4 linked regions of the Arabidopsis thaliana genome follow. The protein of the gene in region 2 interacts with the protein of the main gene of each other region in a pairwise test. Each region holds a gene or a part of one and is shown on either strand. Other genes may lie near its edges. The genes, in order: AT2G23093, AT5G25940, AT1G15900 and ABCG16.

The links.
Region 1: the proteins of AT5G25940 (region 2) and AT2G23093 interact in a protein complementation assay, tested with the Arabidopsis thaliana proteins (one large-scale study listed by BioGRID).
Region 3: the proteins of AT5G25940 (region 2) and AT1G15900 interact in a protein complementation assay, tested with the Arabidopsis thaliana proteins (one large-scale study listed by BioGRID).
Region 4: the proteins of AT5G25940 (region 2) and ABCG16 interact in a protein complementation assay, tested with the Arabidopsis thaliana proteins (one large-scale study listed by BioGRID).

What each region holds. Positions count from the first base shown.
Region 1 is NC_003071.7:9,830,490-9,835,286, reverse strand, and holds AT2G23093 (Major facilitator superfamily protein), read right to left. Parts: upstream 3,256-4,797; 5' UTR 3,095-3,255; coding exon 2,896-3,094; intron 2,739-2,895; coding exon 2,594-2,738; intron 2,516-2,593; coding exon 2,347-2,515; intron 2,255-2,346; coding exon 1,996-2,254; intron 1,919-1,995; coding exon 1,830-1,918; intron 1,632-1,829; coding exon 1,449-1,631; intron 1,356-1,448; coding exon 1,270-1,355; intron 1,167-1,269; coding exon 1,082-1,166; intron 1,006-1,081; coding exon 871-1,005; 3' UTR 548-870; downstream 1-547. Other genes in the region: P4H13 (2-oxoglutarate (2OG) and Fe(II)-dependent oxygenase superfamily protein), read left to right, coding at 93-158, 236-355, 438-521.
Region 2 is NC_003076.8:9,053,566-9,056,932, forward strand, and holds AT5G25940 (early nodulin-like protein), read right to left. Parts: upstream 1,691-3,367; 5' UTR 1,587-1,690; coding exon 1,481-1,586; intron 1,397-1,480; coding exon 1,335-1,396; intron 1,078-1,334; coding exon 1,002-1,077; exon of another isoform or gene 791-1,001; coding exon 687-790; 3' UTR 557-686; downstream 1-556. Other genes in the region: AT5G25930 (kinase family with leucine-rich repeat domain-containing protein), read left to right, coding at 1-413.
Region 3 is NC_003070.9:5,462,374-5,465,468, forward strand, and holds AT1G15900 (uncharacterized protein), read left to right. Parts: upstream 1-1,899; 5' UTR 1,900-1,982; coding exon 1,983-2,324; 3' UTR 2,325-2,574; downstream 2,575-3,095. Other genes in the region: AT1G15890 (Disease resistance protein (CC-NBS-LRR class) family), read left to right, coding at 1-1,588.
Region 4 is NC_003074.8:20,415,681-20,420,967, forward strand, and holds ABCG16 (ABC-2 type transporter family protein), read right to left. Parts: upstream 3,231-5,287; 5' UTR 2,873-3,230; coding exon 662-2,872; 3' UTR 503-661; downstream 1-502. Other genes in the region: AT3G55080 (SET domain-containing protein), read right to left, coding at 34-150; ABCG17 (ABC-2 type transporter family protein), read right to left, coding at 4,672-5,287.

The sequences.
Region 1 (4,797 bases), on a different chromosome or scaffold from region 2:
CTAACTTCGTTTTCTTGCTTCGGATTTTATTAAAGTTGATTCAAAACTACCATCTGTTGATCCTCCACTCATGGCTCAACATATGAATGCAGGTCGTGACTTTCCTATTGTTCTTATCGAGTGTCGAAGAAGGTGGAGAGACGATGTTCCCATTCGAGGTAATCATTGTTTCTTTCTTTCGATTTAACATGGTTGGGATTTTGAGTTGTAAAACAGAATGGTTTTGTGGAAGCAGAATGGGAGAAATATGAATGGAAGATATGATTATGAGAAGTGTGTTGGTCTGAAAGTAAAGCCGCGACAAGGAGACGCCATTTTCTTCTACAATTTGTTTCCAAATGGAACGATCGATCAAGTTAGTGTTCCTGACAATCAAAAACCTCATTTAAGACATAAAATGTTTGATCTTTCTCAGAATTTTGGGTTTGTTGTTGCAGACATCTCTACATGGAAGCTGTCCTGTTATCAAGGGTGAGAAATGGGTTGCCACCAAATGGATAAGAGACCAAACATATGATTGAAGATAATTCAGATTTGACTTGTAACTTGTAAAAATTTCATTCATATTTACTAGTAAAACAATAATGCCTAAAAGGTCCAAAGGAGATGATCTTAATAAGACATGAATCAAACAATCATTTAAAATAATAGAATCCTCTTAAACTAATAATCAAACCTCTTATACTGCTTTCATTGCATCTTTGAACTTCCAAGGTTTTGTGTTTCCTCACTTCATGCTGCTACAAAATCGAAGCGAGACCATTAACACAAGATCATAGACCAACTTGAGTTTCCAGTAGATTTATCTTCGTTTTGCCTTGTCCTGCTTCCGCATAAGTATCATAACCAGAGACCACGAGTTACTCAGGATCATAATTTGTGCCAATCATGGTGTGGTGACTTTCCCCATCGTCTCAACATATATATACAACCAGATGCAGTGAATAAAGAAATGGCACCAAGAGCCATCATTGTTGAGTTCTCGATCTTGTTAGAGTAGCCTCTCTGCAATATTAAGATCGGTAAGGTAACAGAAACAGAAGCAAAATAGGTTAACAATTGTGTTTTTGATAGCACAAACCTGGATTAAGAAAAACAAAATAGCTGCATTGGCTGGAACTTGAGAGAGGCTTATCATCCCTCCACGCAATTCATTTGGTACATACCTATAAATAAAGATAACAGTCCGTTACAACAGAGAAGAAAGGTTCTTCTACTAACAAAGAATGTCTCTGATGAATAATAAGGAAAAATATATAAGAGCATTACATTGTTCTTAATCTTGCAAGCAAAGGAAGTGCCAGTCCAGCAAAGCCATGAAATAAGCAGAAAAGTACTACTAAGATTCGGATTTCCTGCAGGATATGGTCTTTTATGCGTGAGGCCTTCCATATGAAGCAAATAAGTTTTTCACTGGTACACTTTTGTGAAACAAGCAAATAAGTTACCTGATAATCATAGGCTACTATAGAAAACACTATCCCAAGTAGTGCGTATATGTAGACTAAGCAATCTTCAAGCCGGAGCAATGATTGTCCACTCATTAGCCATGGGAATACAGTACTCCCAAGCATTCTTGAACCCAAGAAACATGGATATATCAATCCCAGATTCACTTCACGCCCATCAGCCTAAACAAACATAACTCATTTTAATCATTCCATTGTCGAGAAATAAATACCAATAATTTTATCATCTAAAGGCCAATTAGGGAATCACTGGAGGTCCTAAACATCAAATGACAGTAACCATCATTGCTAATTTGATTTCTGAAATATAAAATTTGGTTCAAGCAACTGCAAATATTATATTAGGAAGCTTAATCATACCACTATTGTTGGTGCCCACAGAATCCAAAAGACTGCAGTGGAAAACTGAAGACAGGCTTGTGAAGTTCCCAGAAACCATATTCTTTTGTCTGATCACATTAACAAGCTAAGATTAGCGTATACTCTTTCAGGAATTTTAACTGAATAGATGAAGACAAAATCTTACCACCAAGAACATACGCATAGAAAGCTGTGGAATAATCCCTAAACGGAAGGGTCTTCAACGGCTCTTTTGCAGTCTGGACAATACAAATAATAGTCACAACAGACAAGAGCAGAGACGCCGTAGCAGATAATGCAATCCCATCCTGAACATTTTCACCCACAAGCCAATTTGCAAGAACTTGACCTCCAATTAAAGATGCAGACTCAAGAAAAGTCATCAACCAGAATGTCTCATTTAACGAGTCATTCCTCTGACTTTGCTACAAAGATACAAGACACAGAACATCATTACAAAATCAGAACATTGATTATCTAATAATAAAAACTCAAATGCAATGACCAATCCATATACCTTTTCATGTTCCACAACAAGCCAAGTCTCAAACCCAAATGAATATACAAGACCAGCAAGGGAGAGAAAAACATTTGCAAACCAAGCACTAGGACTCATTGTAATCCTCTTCCACACACCAACAATAAGGTGCAAGACACAATAGAGTAGACAAATTTTCTTCTGACCTCTACAAAAGTTTCGGTATTTATCATTACTAGCACAAAATGAAAACACTTTGATCAACATTTTACTAAAAGCTACTTACATGAGATCAGAAACCACACCAAGTACAGGACCAAGAACAAGAGCGGTCGAATAACCAACACAGAGATAAAACACCATTGATTCTTTACTTAAGCCATAAGTTGTTAACTCCAATTCTCCATACACTGACAATAAACCTTCCATCACTGCCACATTCCAATCAAAGAATTCAAATTGTAGCAAAGGATCCATTTTGATAGACGAGAAAAGGCAAAAGTTGAAAGCTTTCGAAACCAGAAATTGAAAGCACCATAGATACAGATAAAAATCTGTAGACCCAACTGAAGAAATCTAATGATGTACCTGAAGAGAGAGTGTAGATAGCTAGAAACCATCTCTGGAACCGAGCGAAAGAAGAGGAAATAGAATGATCAAAGCTACCAAAAGTTCTGTTTTTGGCCAAGTAAGGAAACAGAGATATCGATAAAAATGTGGAAACGAAGAAGAAGATGAAGAAGCTTGAGCTTGGTTCCCAAATAAAGGTCTCAATAACGACACCCATCGATCCAAAATTCACCGGTAAATCAGCCGGAGAAAGAAGTAAAAGAACAAACAAAAAAACTCAATTACGTCGGAGAGAATTTGAGATCTTGACTGATGTAAGTGGTGCACAAAAAGAAATGAAGCCCAATATTATTATCAGGCCAAAAGGCCCAATAACTATCCCACCCAAAAAATAGTCTTAAGTTGAAGTAAGCTACACAAAATTTTGTTACAATTTGTTTTTGTATAATATTTCTTGACCATTGACATCGCCTTTCACATTTTTTTGAACATGTTTTTTAGTCTTTTTTTTTTCTTTCTTATATGTGTGTGCAACAAAAAAATTCAAGTTCATAGCAAAGATTTAACGTTGGTTGTTTCTAGATGTTTGAATTCACCACAACGCAACTAATCGCCAAAGATGTATATCAAATATGAAAAATTGATTTTTTAGATATTTGAATCTCTCTTAGATCTTTTTAAGAAAATATTTATCGCTCTTTTAATTACTCTTCGATCCTAAAACATTATCTTGGCCACAACGATTTTGTGAGACCAATGGAAATACTAGAAGATTATGGAGTTCAATTTTCAAGATAATTCGAATTTGGTGCGAAATCCAAATTATCATGATGTTGATGAAAATTATGATTTTGTAGGTTTTTCTTTCAAATACTTAGGAAATTTCAGTAAAATAGATAAGATTTTATGAGAACTAATGGATAATGAGGATTCATGATGTTGCATATTTTTCAAGGTTTAACATGAAATATGCAAGATTCTCAAATCCAGATTTCAAGAAGCCATAATTTTGAGATAAAATTTATAGCATATGCATCAAAACACAATAATAATTTAAAACAGAAATTACAAAATAATCATTTCCAAATTTTGATTTTTTGCCCAATTTGAATTTATGTTAAAATTTCTGAATCATGTTTTGGCCGAAAAGAATATGATGAAATCATATGTTAGATGTCAAAATTACGGAATCATCTAGAAAAAATCAAAATGAATTCTTCTAGAAGTTAACAATAGAAACCACTCATTCGCCGGGTGAAATCAATTGACTGACGAGTTGTCTACTAAACGAGCGTTAGTGTGAGTTAAACCTCTAAAGTTTGATAGCTCGAACTACTATCGAGATTCTTCGGACAATCTTTCTTAGTATCATCTCGATGTTCATTGCTATACCATCATTTGCTCTCTTATACTCAATAGACAAGGTAGTAGTTAGCTCGTGCAATCAATAAAAAGCGGTCATATTTTGTGTGAGTGAGTGACTCATTTTTTTTGAAGAAGATAAATCGTGTAGGTTATAGCTTATAGAGACCTAATAAAATTGACATTTACTAGAGTCTGTCCTAAAACAACAAAAAAATAATTTTCCTTTATTTTTAATTTTTTAATTGTAAATTCTGTTTTGTTTTAGTTTTTTTAGAAGTTAACAATATAAACCACTCACTCCCTGAATAATATTAATCCTATCATTTTGCATGAATGAGTGAGTGTCTCAATTCCTTTGAATAAGATAAACTGTACAGGTTATCAATTAGCAAAAAAGAATCTTTTTCTTGGTTTAGATTGAAAACATATTTGTGTGTTGGTCAACTGATTTATTCAGACCAAAAAAAAAAAAAAAACCTCAGTCGTTTAAACGTTAAAGGTTCTTGTTTTAACGGGCCTTAAATGGATAATAAGTCCGAAGGCCCATTATGTTGA
Region 2 (3,367 bases):
CATATACGTCAAAGGTAGATGAGAAGATCGATGTGTACAGCTTCGGGGTAGTTTTGCTAGAGCTGGTGACTGGAAGAGAAGGAAACAACGGAGATGAACACACAAACTTAGCAGATTGGTCATGGAAACATTACCAATCTGGAAAACCGACCGCAGAGGCGTTTGATGAGGACATCAAAGAAGCTTCCACGACTGAGGCGATGACAACAGTTTTCAAGCTAGGTCTCATGTGTACTAACACATTGCCTAGTCATAGACCTTCCATGAAAGAGGTCTTGTATGTTCTGCGCCAACAAGGACTTGAGGCGACGAAGAAGACTGCAACAGAGGCATATGAGGCACCTCTACTAGTTAGTTTATCGGGTCGAAGGACAAGTAAAAGGGTAGAAGATGAAGATTTAGGTTTTGTATAATCAAATAATCACAACACTTGATGTTGTTTTTTTTGTGAAATGTACAAATGTATTAGAAACCATTTAGTTTTTGTGTAAGCAAAGTTTTAGTTAAGAGTATAACTACCAGCTTGTAACTTATTTGAGAACAAAATCTGAAAGTCTGAATAAAAAATGGTCTTAAAGAATTTGTTATTCCTTATAATAATAACACTCTTATTAAGAATCAAGGCAAAATATGCATACAAAACAGAGAAAGATGATGATTGATTTGTGTTACAATAAGAAGAGAAATTATTTAGAGTCTTGCTGAACTTTCTTTAACTGAGCCTCGGTGTTTCTTCTTGCGCCTTGTAGAATCGTTTTATCCGCGGTTATGAAGAACGCAGCGATAGAAGCTGTTCCAATGATCACCATAATCACAAGATAGAAATCAGAAGAAAATTGTGGAGAAATGAATGTACGAATACTTAAAAACCCCAAACTCAACTAGGTTCAAAAGGGAAGTTCGAGGTTTCTACAACAATGTTAAAGCTAGTATCTTTTTTCTACTTAGTTCCAGGAAGAACATATAGTAATGATTTAAGGCATATTGCTGATAGAGCTAACCTGAAGAAATAATGAGTGCTTGAGCAGTGTAGTTGAGGTTTGCCTTAGCCCACGGGAACATACGAACGGCAGCTACCTGTTACGAAAACAAGGCATGCTTATGTACCAAATTCATATCTTATATACACATCAAAAAGAATGTGACTCTACTTGGTGTATTCAGAAATCACAAAATGAATAGGTAACAAAATTGAAACTCTTGATTATTACAGAACATGAGATTGGTGAGTCACTTTTGTCTTAAAATTCAACAACAAAGAAACATAACTCTTACATTTAATTCATTTAAGATCTCAATTTAAAAAATTTAGATAAGTGAGATTATATGATTACTGTGGGAATCGCACTGGCGACGGCGGCAACGGCGGCGGCCTTAGCTCCGGCAATAGCTCCGGCTGTAACATAATCCAAAGTCATCAATTTAAAAGATTTTTTTTAGGGGAAAAAAGAGAGAGAGAGACGGAGAAAGAAGAAGAGACCTTGTTTGGAAGTTTCGGCTCGATGGATCTTAGCAATCTCGTCGGGAGAAGCTATGACGAAGAGATTCTGCTGCCTCCGGTTACCCATTTCTGACCGATTTTCCATTTTCAGTGTCGCTTTTTTGATCTTTCGATTTCAAGGAGAGAGAGAGAGAGAGAGACGGGTCGCGATTTGCCTTTTTCTTTGGTTAGGAAATAAATGATTAGGACGAAAATTAAAAATTCGTTTTTTTTTTTTATAAGTTGGGAATCTTTCACCAAAATAATGAAACGCCAATATTGAAAACAAAGTTGTCAAAATACTATAGTCTATAAAACGCCAATTTAGAAATGTATTTCAATCATGTATTTAGAATAATTTGTGTTAGAAAACAGATAAAACAATTATTATGTTATAGATTATTTTTAAAATAAAATAAAATTCAGTGGTTCGTAAATGTTTGTTATTGAGAATATTTTAAATTTTAGATTTTTAGTATTTTTAATGCACAATGGTCTTTTGGAGCGGTTTTAGAAATCGACTTAAGAAATGTTTGGAGTCAATTTTGTTACCATACGGATATCTTTAGAGATATAAGAAATTAATCGATTCAGTTTTAGATAAAATTTATAAGTGAAAAAATGATTAAAAAAATATAATAAATTAGTTAATTTCATTAATGATGATATTTTTGTATAGAAAGATAAATTAAAACTTAATTTTATATGTGATTAAAATAGTAATTTTTAAAAAATTGGTTAGTTTATTTTAATTACATAAAATTTAAAATAAAATTTTTGGTATAGAAGTTGAGTTTTAAATGAATTCGGCCTTAATGCTTCAAACATACAAAAGCGAAGATATAGAGAGCCCATCAAAAGTACTAGGGACCAACAGAAAATGTTAAGATTTTATTAATAGTTCAATATTCTTTTTTTAAAAATATTATAATACCTGAATTGGACTTGAGCCAAAGTTTTACAAATCAAAACAACAAATACAAAACGGAGGCAAGAATCTGACAATATCTCCGGTAGACGAGATCTTACTTCGGCGGTAGTTCAATATTGTTCTAATGATTTAACTTGATTGCTTAGATTGGATGATAGAATGTATTTCTAGTGTTCTAATTTAATTGGTTACTTGAACTTTGATACCCTTCTATTGCTATGGTTTTTATACACTTGTGGCAATGAGTGATATTGTAAATTAAATTAGAAAATATGGTGCTAAGGGATATGTGATATAATGCATATATATCCGAGCTACTCGAAAGTCGAAACAGGGTCTAAGCTTCCACCTATGGCTAATTGAGTACTTATGTGCATGAAACATGAGCATAAGAGGTTGATGGAGCTGTTTTACTGTATGCATCTTTCTGCAACCCAAATCCAAAGAGTAGTTGTAAATTTCATGAAAGTGAATGTAATGTCTATAGTCATGTCATAATGTTACTGACAGTCCAAGAGGTGAAGAGCGGTGTGCGGGTGTCTCCAAAATTGTATGTGGTATATTGTGTTTTTAGTGTCTTATGTCCTTTGTCTAGTGTTTGTTTTGAGTTGTTTGTCACATTTTTGTTCGTTTTTAATGTATTTTTCGGTTGTTTTGTACAAGTTTTACGAAGTTATACTGGAATTGGAGACTTTTTAAGTGAAAAACAGACGTTAGGAGATGAAACGGAAAAATGGTGATTCAAGACAACTCCGATGAATGCCATCAGACAACTTTTTGATGCTTAATTTTAAATTTTCTATCAAATTCCACTGGAAAATGGCATCGGACAATTCCCTGATTGAGCACCAATATAATTGAACCCTACCGCAAGAAGTATTGCCTCCTATAAAAACAAGTTGAGAACATTTTCAATGCGAGTTGTCTATAAAATTTTCGGTTGCAAATAAAATATA
Region 3 (3,095 bases), on a different chromosome or scaffold from region 2:
TGGACCAATCCCATTACAGAGCCATGAGGATATTCCCACACTTGCAAGAAAAGTAGCAGAAAAATGTTGTGGCTTGCCACTTGCACTCAGTGTCATTGGCAAAGCTATGGCATCTAGAGAGACTGTTCAGGAATGGCAGCATGTGATTCATGTTCTGAACTCGTCTAGCCACGAGTTCCCAAGTATGGAAGAAAAAATTCTTCCTGTTTTGAAGTTCAGTTATGATGATTTAAAAGATGAAAAAGTCAAATTGTGCTTCCTTTATTGTTCCCTGTTTCCGGAAGATTATGAAGTAAGAAAGGAAGAGTTGATAGAATATTGGATGTGTGAAGGATTTATAGATGGGAATGAAGATGAAGATGGAGCTAACAACAAAGGTCATGACATAATTGGCTCGTTAGTTCGTGCACATCTATTGATGGATGGTGAACTAACAACAAAAGTGAAAATGCATGATGTCATACGCGAGATGGCTCTTTGGATAGCGTCGAACTTTGGAAAACAGAAAGAAACACTTTGTGTGAAACCCGGTGTGCAGTTATGCCATATACCAAAGGACATCAATTGGGAAAGTTTGAGAAGGATGTCTTTGATGTGCAATCAGATTGCAAATATATCTTCTAGTTCCAACTCTCCCAACCTCTCAACTCTATTACTCCAGAATAACAAGTTGGTGCATATATCATGTGACTTTTTTAGGTTTATGCCAGCACTCGTGGTCTTGGATCTTTCGAGGAACTCGAGTCTCTCTAGCTTGCCGGAAGCAATTTCTAAGTTAGGTTCCTTGCAATATATCAACTTATCAACAACAGGGATAAAATGGTTGCCAGTTAGTTTTAAGGAGTTGAAGAAATTAATCCATTTGAATCTGGAGTTTACTGATGAACTTGAAAGTATTGTTGGGATAGCTACAAGCCTACCAAACCTGCAAGTGTTGAAATTGTTTTCTTCTCGTGTTTGTATTGATGGCAGTTTAATGGAAGAGTTACTACTCTTGGAGCACTTGAAGGTTTTAACAGCAACTATAAAGGACGCCTTGATTTTGGAAAGTATACAAGGAGTGGACCGATTGGTGAGTAGTATTCAAGCTTTATGTCTCAGAAATATGTCAGCACCGGTTATAATATTGAACACGGTAGCTCTGGGTGGTCTTCAACACCTTGAAATCGTGGGCTCCAAAATCTCAGAGATAAAGATAGATTGGGAAAGAAAAGGAAGAGGGGAGCTTAAATGTACAAGTTCTCCTGGCTTTAAGCACCTCTCTGTTGTTGAAATATTCAATTTGGAAGGTCCAAGGGATTTAACATGGCTGTTGTTTGCTCAAAACCTCAGGCGTCTATCTGTGACGCTGTCATTAACCATAGAAGAGATAATAAACAAGGAGAAAGGAATGAGTATTACCAATGTGCATCCAAATATCGTTGTTCCGTTTGGGAAGCTGGAATTCCTTGAAGTAAGGGGTTTGGATGAGTTAAAGAGAATCTGCTGGAATCCCCCGGCTCTTCCAAACCTGAGACAATTTGATGTACGAAGCTGCCTTAAGCTACCGGAAGCTGCCACTGAGTTTCCGCGACATGCCAATGAATAATGGGAGGACGGTGCTCCGGTGCTAGCTGATGGTTTCTGGCTTATGTACTAGTTTTGGAGAATGAAGCTATCGCAGATCGCAGATGTACTGCTTTTCTATCTCCCTCATTCTTGCTTGATTTGACACTCTCTGTTTGACTATATCCTTTCACTTCTTGATTTGGTTTCTGTTTGTGCACTGCTTTTGTTCCCGATTAACTTGTTTTCAAAGTTTTGAAAGACTATTTCCTTTTTCAGTTTTCACTTGTATTTTGTTTTTGTCTAATAAGTTCAAAAAATTCCAAGTGCGTTATCATTCTCTCTTTACTCTAATCTCTCTGAGTTTATTACTTTAAAAGGTTTCCTAATCTTTGTAACGCGGAAAACCGTTTTTAGCCTTCCAGTAAGAACACTAGATGGAGACGCAATTTCATGGCGGCGATGGAGAAGATCCTTGGCTAGCTCGAGACAAACTATACCATGTAATATTCTGCTTCTCAATCTCTCTTATCTTCTCTACTCTCGCCTCTTTCTCCCGCTACTCCTTTCTACGCCGTCACTCCATCTGGATCGGATCTGCTTTCTCACTCGCCGCCGGTGCGGCTAAAGAAGCTGCCGATCAAATTGGTATCTTCCCTTCCGCAGGTGCTTCCGTTAGAGACGCCGTCGCGGACGCCATTGGAGTTGTGATAGCTGCTTTGGTTCTCCTCCTCTGGAAATCTCGAAGATCACGTACCCGACCCATCCTTCCGATTTGAATCTTCTTTCTTATTGCTGCCGATTCGATTCACAGTAGAAAATATTCCGTTGAAGCTTGTCAGTGTTGTATCCACGGATAATCTCGCAATTTTTATCAAAAGTTTGATCATCACAAAATTTTGGTAATCAGTCTCCTTTGATTTTACTTGTTGAAATGAAAACATGCAACAAACAGTTTATGAGAGTATTGTTGATTCAAGTAAATCAGTTTTGAATAAAACTGTACTCAGATTATTGCTGCTAAAGTATATGATTCATGAAATCTGAAATTTTGAATTAGTTCAGTGTTTAGGCTCAATATCAAATATTCGTTTTCGCCATTTGCTCATTCATTGTGAAGATCAAGGAGAGAAACATTTGGCCTGCTTGAAACATCACATCAAAATTTGAAAACCAACAAAATTGAAAAGATTATGATGTCCAAGACCAAGACCAAAATGAATTTTGGTCAAACATGAGTCAAACATGATTTTTTTTCTTTTTCTTTTTCTTTCATCAATGTGTTTTTAGTCGTTATCTTTAATATTGCTTTTTCCTAACTCTCCTTCTATTGGCGCATTTATTTTTTCTGAATCCTAATTCATTTTTTTTTTGTTCTTAAATTAATTCCAATTTCCAAGTCCTCTTCATCTTTATTGCTTTTTTTATTCCCTAACTCTTGTTTTATTGGCATAGAAATTTTCTTCGGATCCTCCTCACTGTCTCTCTATACTCCACTCTTCATCAAGCGTTGGGTCATCGCCGTCTTCCCTTTCCTTCCCTCTCTAACG
Region 4 (5,287 bases), on a different chromosome or scaffold from region 2:
TTCACGAAAGTCTCAATCTTTCACAAATCAAACCTGAGTTTGGAGCTCTAACGTTAGTTTCCCGGCGAGACTGAAACGCTTGGCTAAAGAGCTAACATTGCGCCTTTGTTGAAACCCGAAAAGCTTCACTGTCGAAATGCAGAATAGCATCTCCAGCCAAACTGGATGGCGCGTGAGCAACCACCGCTCGTATTATGGACTCGTGTTTCGACTGCGGCTAGAGCAGAGCGGCCAGGACCAGACGATATTCTGATGCTGATTCGGTCCGGTTTGTTTCGGTTTTAAATTTCAGATAAATCGGTTTGTTTTTAATTGATTTTGTAGATAGCCTTCCAATTTTGACTTTTTGATACCTTACAAAGTGAAATGGCTTTGAGAGTTACTTGCCTCTAGCAACAGTGTCTGTGTCTCCTCATTTTTCTTCCACAATCTCAATGCCTCTATTTGAAATGTTGCATTAATTTTCTGAGTAAAAGCGATTCATAGGTGCTTTTTGTATTTCCAATTTCCTAAAGAATGATATTTTTTTTATTGATGGCAAAAGTAATACAAATGTTAAAAAGAATACAATTCAAATACACAATCAATCTACGAATTACAAGTAATGAAAAAGAATTACAATATATGTTTTTGGTTTTAGGTATCATCAGTAGTTTCAGTTTCACCTCCTCTTGTTTTTGCTCCCAAGCAACAAACACAAGTAAAACAAAATCCTAAATAGGAATCCGAAACCTACCGTGATAAGCAAGCAGTTCCATTTACTAAGCTGTGTCACTCCTTGCTGCTTCAGAACATCAGCACCCGTCGTTAAACACGTAGAGCTCGATATCCTCATACCTATCGACCGGCTCACAGAATCCAAAAGCCTCAGCTTCATCCCATACGTCAATTCTCCCAAAGGCGAGTTGTCGAAAAGCTGAACACCTCTCACAAAACATTCTGTAGGATCCGAGAACTCGTTCTGAAGAACCGCCTCGTATGGATACTTAACCAGAGAAAGATAATGAAACCAAATCCAATACTGAGGGATTCGATCTCTGTTGATGAAGAAGCCACTGAAAAGCAAGAAGTAAGCTAAAATAGCAACAACGATCGTGTAGCCTAACATCACATGTGGAACGACGCCGGATAAGAAAGTCACGAAGGAGCTTCCGGACCAGAAAGAGGCTAAGATGATTAAGCAGTAGAATAAAAAGCCCATTAGGCCTCCTTCAAGCCCAACAGCCCAAAACGTCGTCACTGCGAAAGCTAAAGAGAGGAAGATGAGCGAAGGGAAGGTAACAATGGCGTGAGAGAGAACGTAGGAGGATCTCCGGTAAGCGTTGTAAGCTGTTTCTCTCATGAAGATGTAACGTTCCTGGAGGAACACGGGAAGAGCATCGGCGCAAGTGTAGAACATTGTTGACATTGCGAATGCGAAGAACCCTAACCGCTCTTGAACTCCTTTTGGTGAATTATCCAATCGCCAGAATACGGTGGCTAAGATGAATCCGGTGACGATTACGGTGGCTAATCGCATTCCGAGTAGCTCCGGTTGTCGTCGGGAGTTGAGGATTGAGCGTCTGGTGAGAGTTTTGATTTCGATCCAGAACGGATTCGCGAATGCAGGGACGGCTAAGGTTCCGCCACCGTGGTTTATGACGGAGGAACCACCGCCGCCACCGGAGACTAGTTTTCCTCTGCTTATGCTGGCGGAAATCGCTTCTTTCAAGGTTAAATTTGGGTTTGGAGAAGCCGGCGGAGTTAGGGTTTGAGGATTGCTCTGTTTCTTCATCTCTTGCCATTTCTTGTTGAATTCAACTAATCCTCTTGTTCCTCCAGCTGATCCTTCGAGTTCTCTGATTAGATCGAGTGCAAACTCCGTTTGATTCTCGTTTTCCGGTATCGGATTACCGAACCCGGCGAAAAAGCTCGGTAGACTCGCCGGAGAACCACTAAAGACGGTGTGTCCACGTGACAAGAAGATAAGACGATCAAGTAAACTGAGAACTCTGTGACTTGGCTGATGTATTGACATTATAATGATACTGCCACTCTCTGCGATTCTCTTCAATACTTTAACCACCATGAAAGCACTTGTGGAATCTAAACCAGAAGTAGGTTCGTCGAGGAAGAGAACAATCGGGTCGTGGATGATATCGATTCCGATCGAAACTCGCCTTCTTTCTCCACCGGAGATTCCACGGTGTCCTTCGTCTCCAATGATTGTTTTAGCAGCGTTTCTTATCCCTAACTGGTCGATTAGGGCTTGAACTCGAAGCTTCTTCTTGGATTTAGGTAAGCTTCTTGGTAATCGAAACTCAGCTGCAAACATTAAGGTTTCTTCCACAGTAAGCATCGGGAAGAGAAGATCGTCTTGCATTACATAAGCTGAGATAACTTTCAGCATCCGAGATTGAAGAGCTTCTCCGTTAAGCGTTACCGTGCCCTTCAAGCTTCCTTTAGCGATCCGATTCGCTAAAGCGTCGATCAAAGTGGATTTACCTGACCCGCTAGCTCCAAGAACGGCAAGAATCTCTCCGTCACGAGTCTCACCGGAGATATTGTCTAGAAGAGTCTTGGTCTTGGAGAAAGATGTCCTCCTCCATGGAACCAGGTCGTGAAAGTCAAGTTTCCGGCGAACAGAGACGTTGTAAGTAAGGTTGTTGAAAGATAGAACGAAAGGAACAGGACGCATAAGATGATCATTATCTCCGTCAAGTGAAGAACCATCCCTGTCAAAGAATTCATGAACAGGAGTTTCGTCACCAACTTCAACCTTACGAACGTCGCTAACGTTCTTGAGAAGTTGGCCTAAAGTCAAAGATGAGCTAATAATCTCCATGGAATGAAACGGTGTTGCATTATCATCTTCTACTAGTATGCGAGACATTTAGAACAAAAGATGGTAAAGTGAGAAATGATGTGCTTACACTTGAAAATCAAAACACTCTTTGCATGATCAAAATGTTAGTCTTTGTTCTCTGTTTTGCTAGTATCTGTGTATAGGCCTTATATATATGAAGTAACGTGTGGAAGCGTGTGAACACGAAGGTTCTATGTGTTGAATGAGTTGCATCATCATGAGAAATCTGTTAGGTTTGTGTTGTTAACAATAATATTCTTAGCGTTTGGATGGAAAATGCGTTTTGGATTTCTCGTATTCAATTAGGGAGAGGTAATGGGATGACCAATAAATCTAGATTTTCCAAGGTGATAATACTAAAATACGTAGAAATGGCTGACACGTGGCGATTAGAATGGAGAATTAGGTGAAGGGTGTTGATCTAACCGAGGTATAGATAGTATATAGGATTGAGATGAGATATTTCTTGCGTTTCACATAGTGTTTGGTCAATTAATTAATGTTTTTAAAAGATTCTTCGAATGTTGGTAGCGATATAGTGATTGTTTGTATCGCAAGCAAATGTGTACCTAGATAAACTATTCACATTTTCTTTTGTTTTCGCGACCGAAGACGATTGCTTATGCTGCTAACTGCCTAAAAGTTGCAAATTGCAATAATTCCGGAACCCCAACTAATTCTACCAAATATAATATAAAAGTTATATTTGATAAAGTAGCTAGATTTGTATTTAGTTTGGGAATATAAACTCCTGTTTTTGCTATGAAAGACTACACACAATCTCCAAGTTCATTTTTTCTATTTCTTGATTATTTAGTTGGTAACGGTGGAACATTCTTTACCAAACTCAAATATTGTGTTTGGTCTTTGTTTCCTCTGTTTTATTCACAGTATACAGAAGCTGATAAAACATTCTTTTTGTTTTGTAAAGGGTGGAGTGGTGGTTTAAGAGAAATATAATAAAAATCGTCAAGTTTGTTGCTAAAATTAAACATGCATGCGAAAATTACACGAGAATCATAAAGATGGTGTCACATTTCAAATACTATTTGTTAAGAAAGTAAAAATAGTGATGTCTTTGATCCATCCAGGGAAAGAAGAAACAGATCAAAAGGTTAGGCAACTTCCTCTTAAGTAGTACTTGGTCAAACTTCTAGTGATGGACACAATGGTAACATGAAAGCAAAATTGACGTACTGGCTTAGCTTCTTGGATTTCCAATCCTAAACTTTGACTTCACTGTTACATCTTTTTGGTTGACATTTTGAAGTTTAGGTGACTAACTTCTACCTACTGTAGTCTTCCTTACCGCCATAAGAAAAGGGTCAAAGATTTATAATACCATCTAATAAAGCTTATAAGAAAGTTGGCTACTTTGAATTCTATTTTCGACCAACTGTTTAGTTGTATATACTTTTGTTTTTAAAAAGTGATGCAATTTGAATTTTGTCAAATACGTTATGTTTACACCGACCACGAAAGATGGCATATAGCTCACACGCACATTAAAACTACTAAATTACTTCACTGGTAGCTTGTGGTATCTTTATATTAGTTTGAACTTTAAACTATTGATGTAGTTCATATTGTTAAGTTAAAAACATTACCAATTGTGAATTAAACTAAAATCTTAGTCCTTTATAAAATTGTGAACCTAACATCATGTAAAATGTTAGATGTACGATTCTTTCTTTAGACAATATATGATAGCTATGAAAGAAAAAAATAATAATTATACAACATATATCATCAATATCTCAAATTCAAAAAGACAATTTTGCTTTCACAATAAAATTTCTGTTTCGGAAAAATTTACATTATGGCGTTCACGCCCTCTTATTCTTGCTTCCAAGCAACAACGAAAAATAAAACAAGATCCTAAAGAAGAATCCCCAAGCTAACGTTACCCACAAGCAACCCCATTTATCCAGCTGCTCAATTCCATGCTGCTTAAGCAAATCAGAGCCCGTCGTCAAACACGTTGATTCCGTTAACTCCATCCCCAAGTAACCGCTCATTGTCTCCAGAAGCTTAGCCTTTGTCGTTTCAGATACTCCTTCCATTATTGTATTATCAAACACTTGGTTTCCTCTCACGAAACAACGGGAGGGATCATCGAATTCGTTGTGCAGAACAGCTTCGTAGGGATACTTTAGCAGAGAAATGTAATGAATCCATATCCAATAAAGATGGATTCGATCACGGTTGACGTAGAATCCGCTGAAGAGGAGGCAGTATGAGAGATAGCCAAAGGTGACCATGTAACTCATCATCACGTTTGGAATCACACCGGAGACAAATGTAACAAACGAGCATCCTGACCAGAAGGACGCGAAGATGATCATAAGATAGTAGATAAAACCTGCCAGACCACCGTTTAGACCAACGAACCAGAACGTGGTCGCTGCAAAGCCTATGGAAAGTGCGAAGAGATGAGGCAGA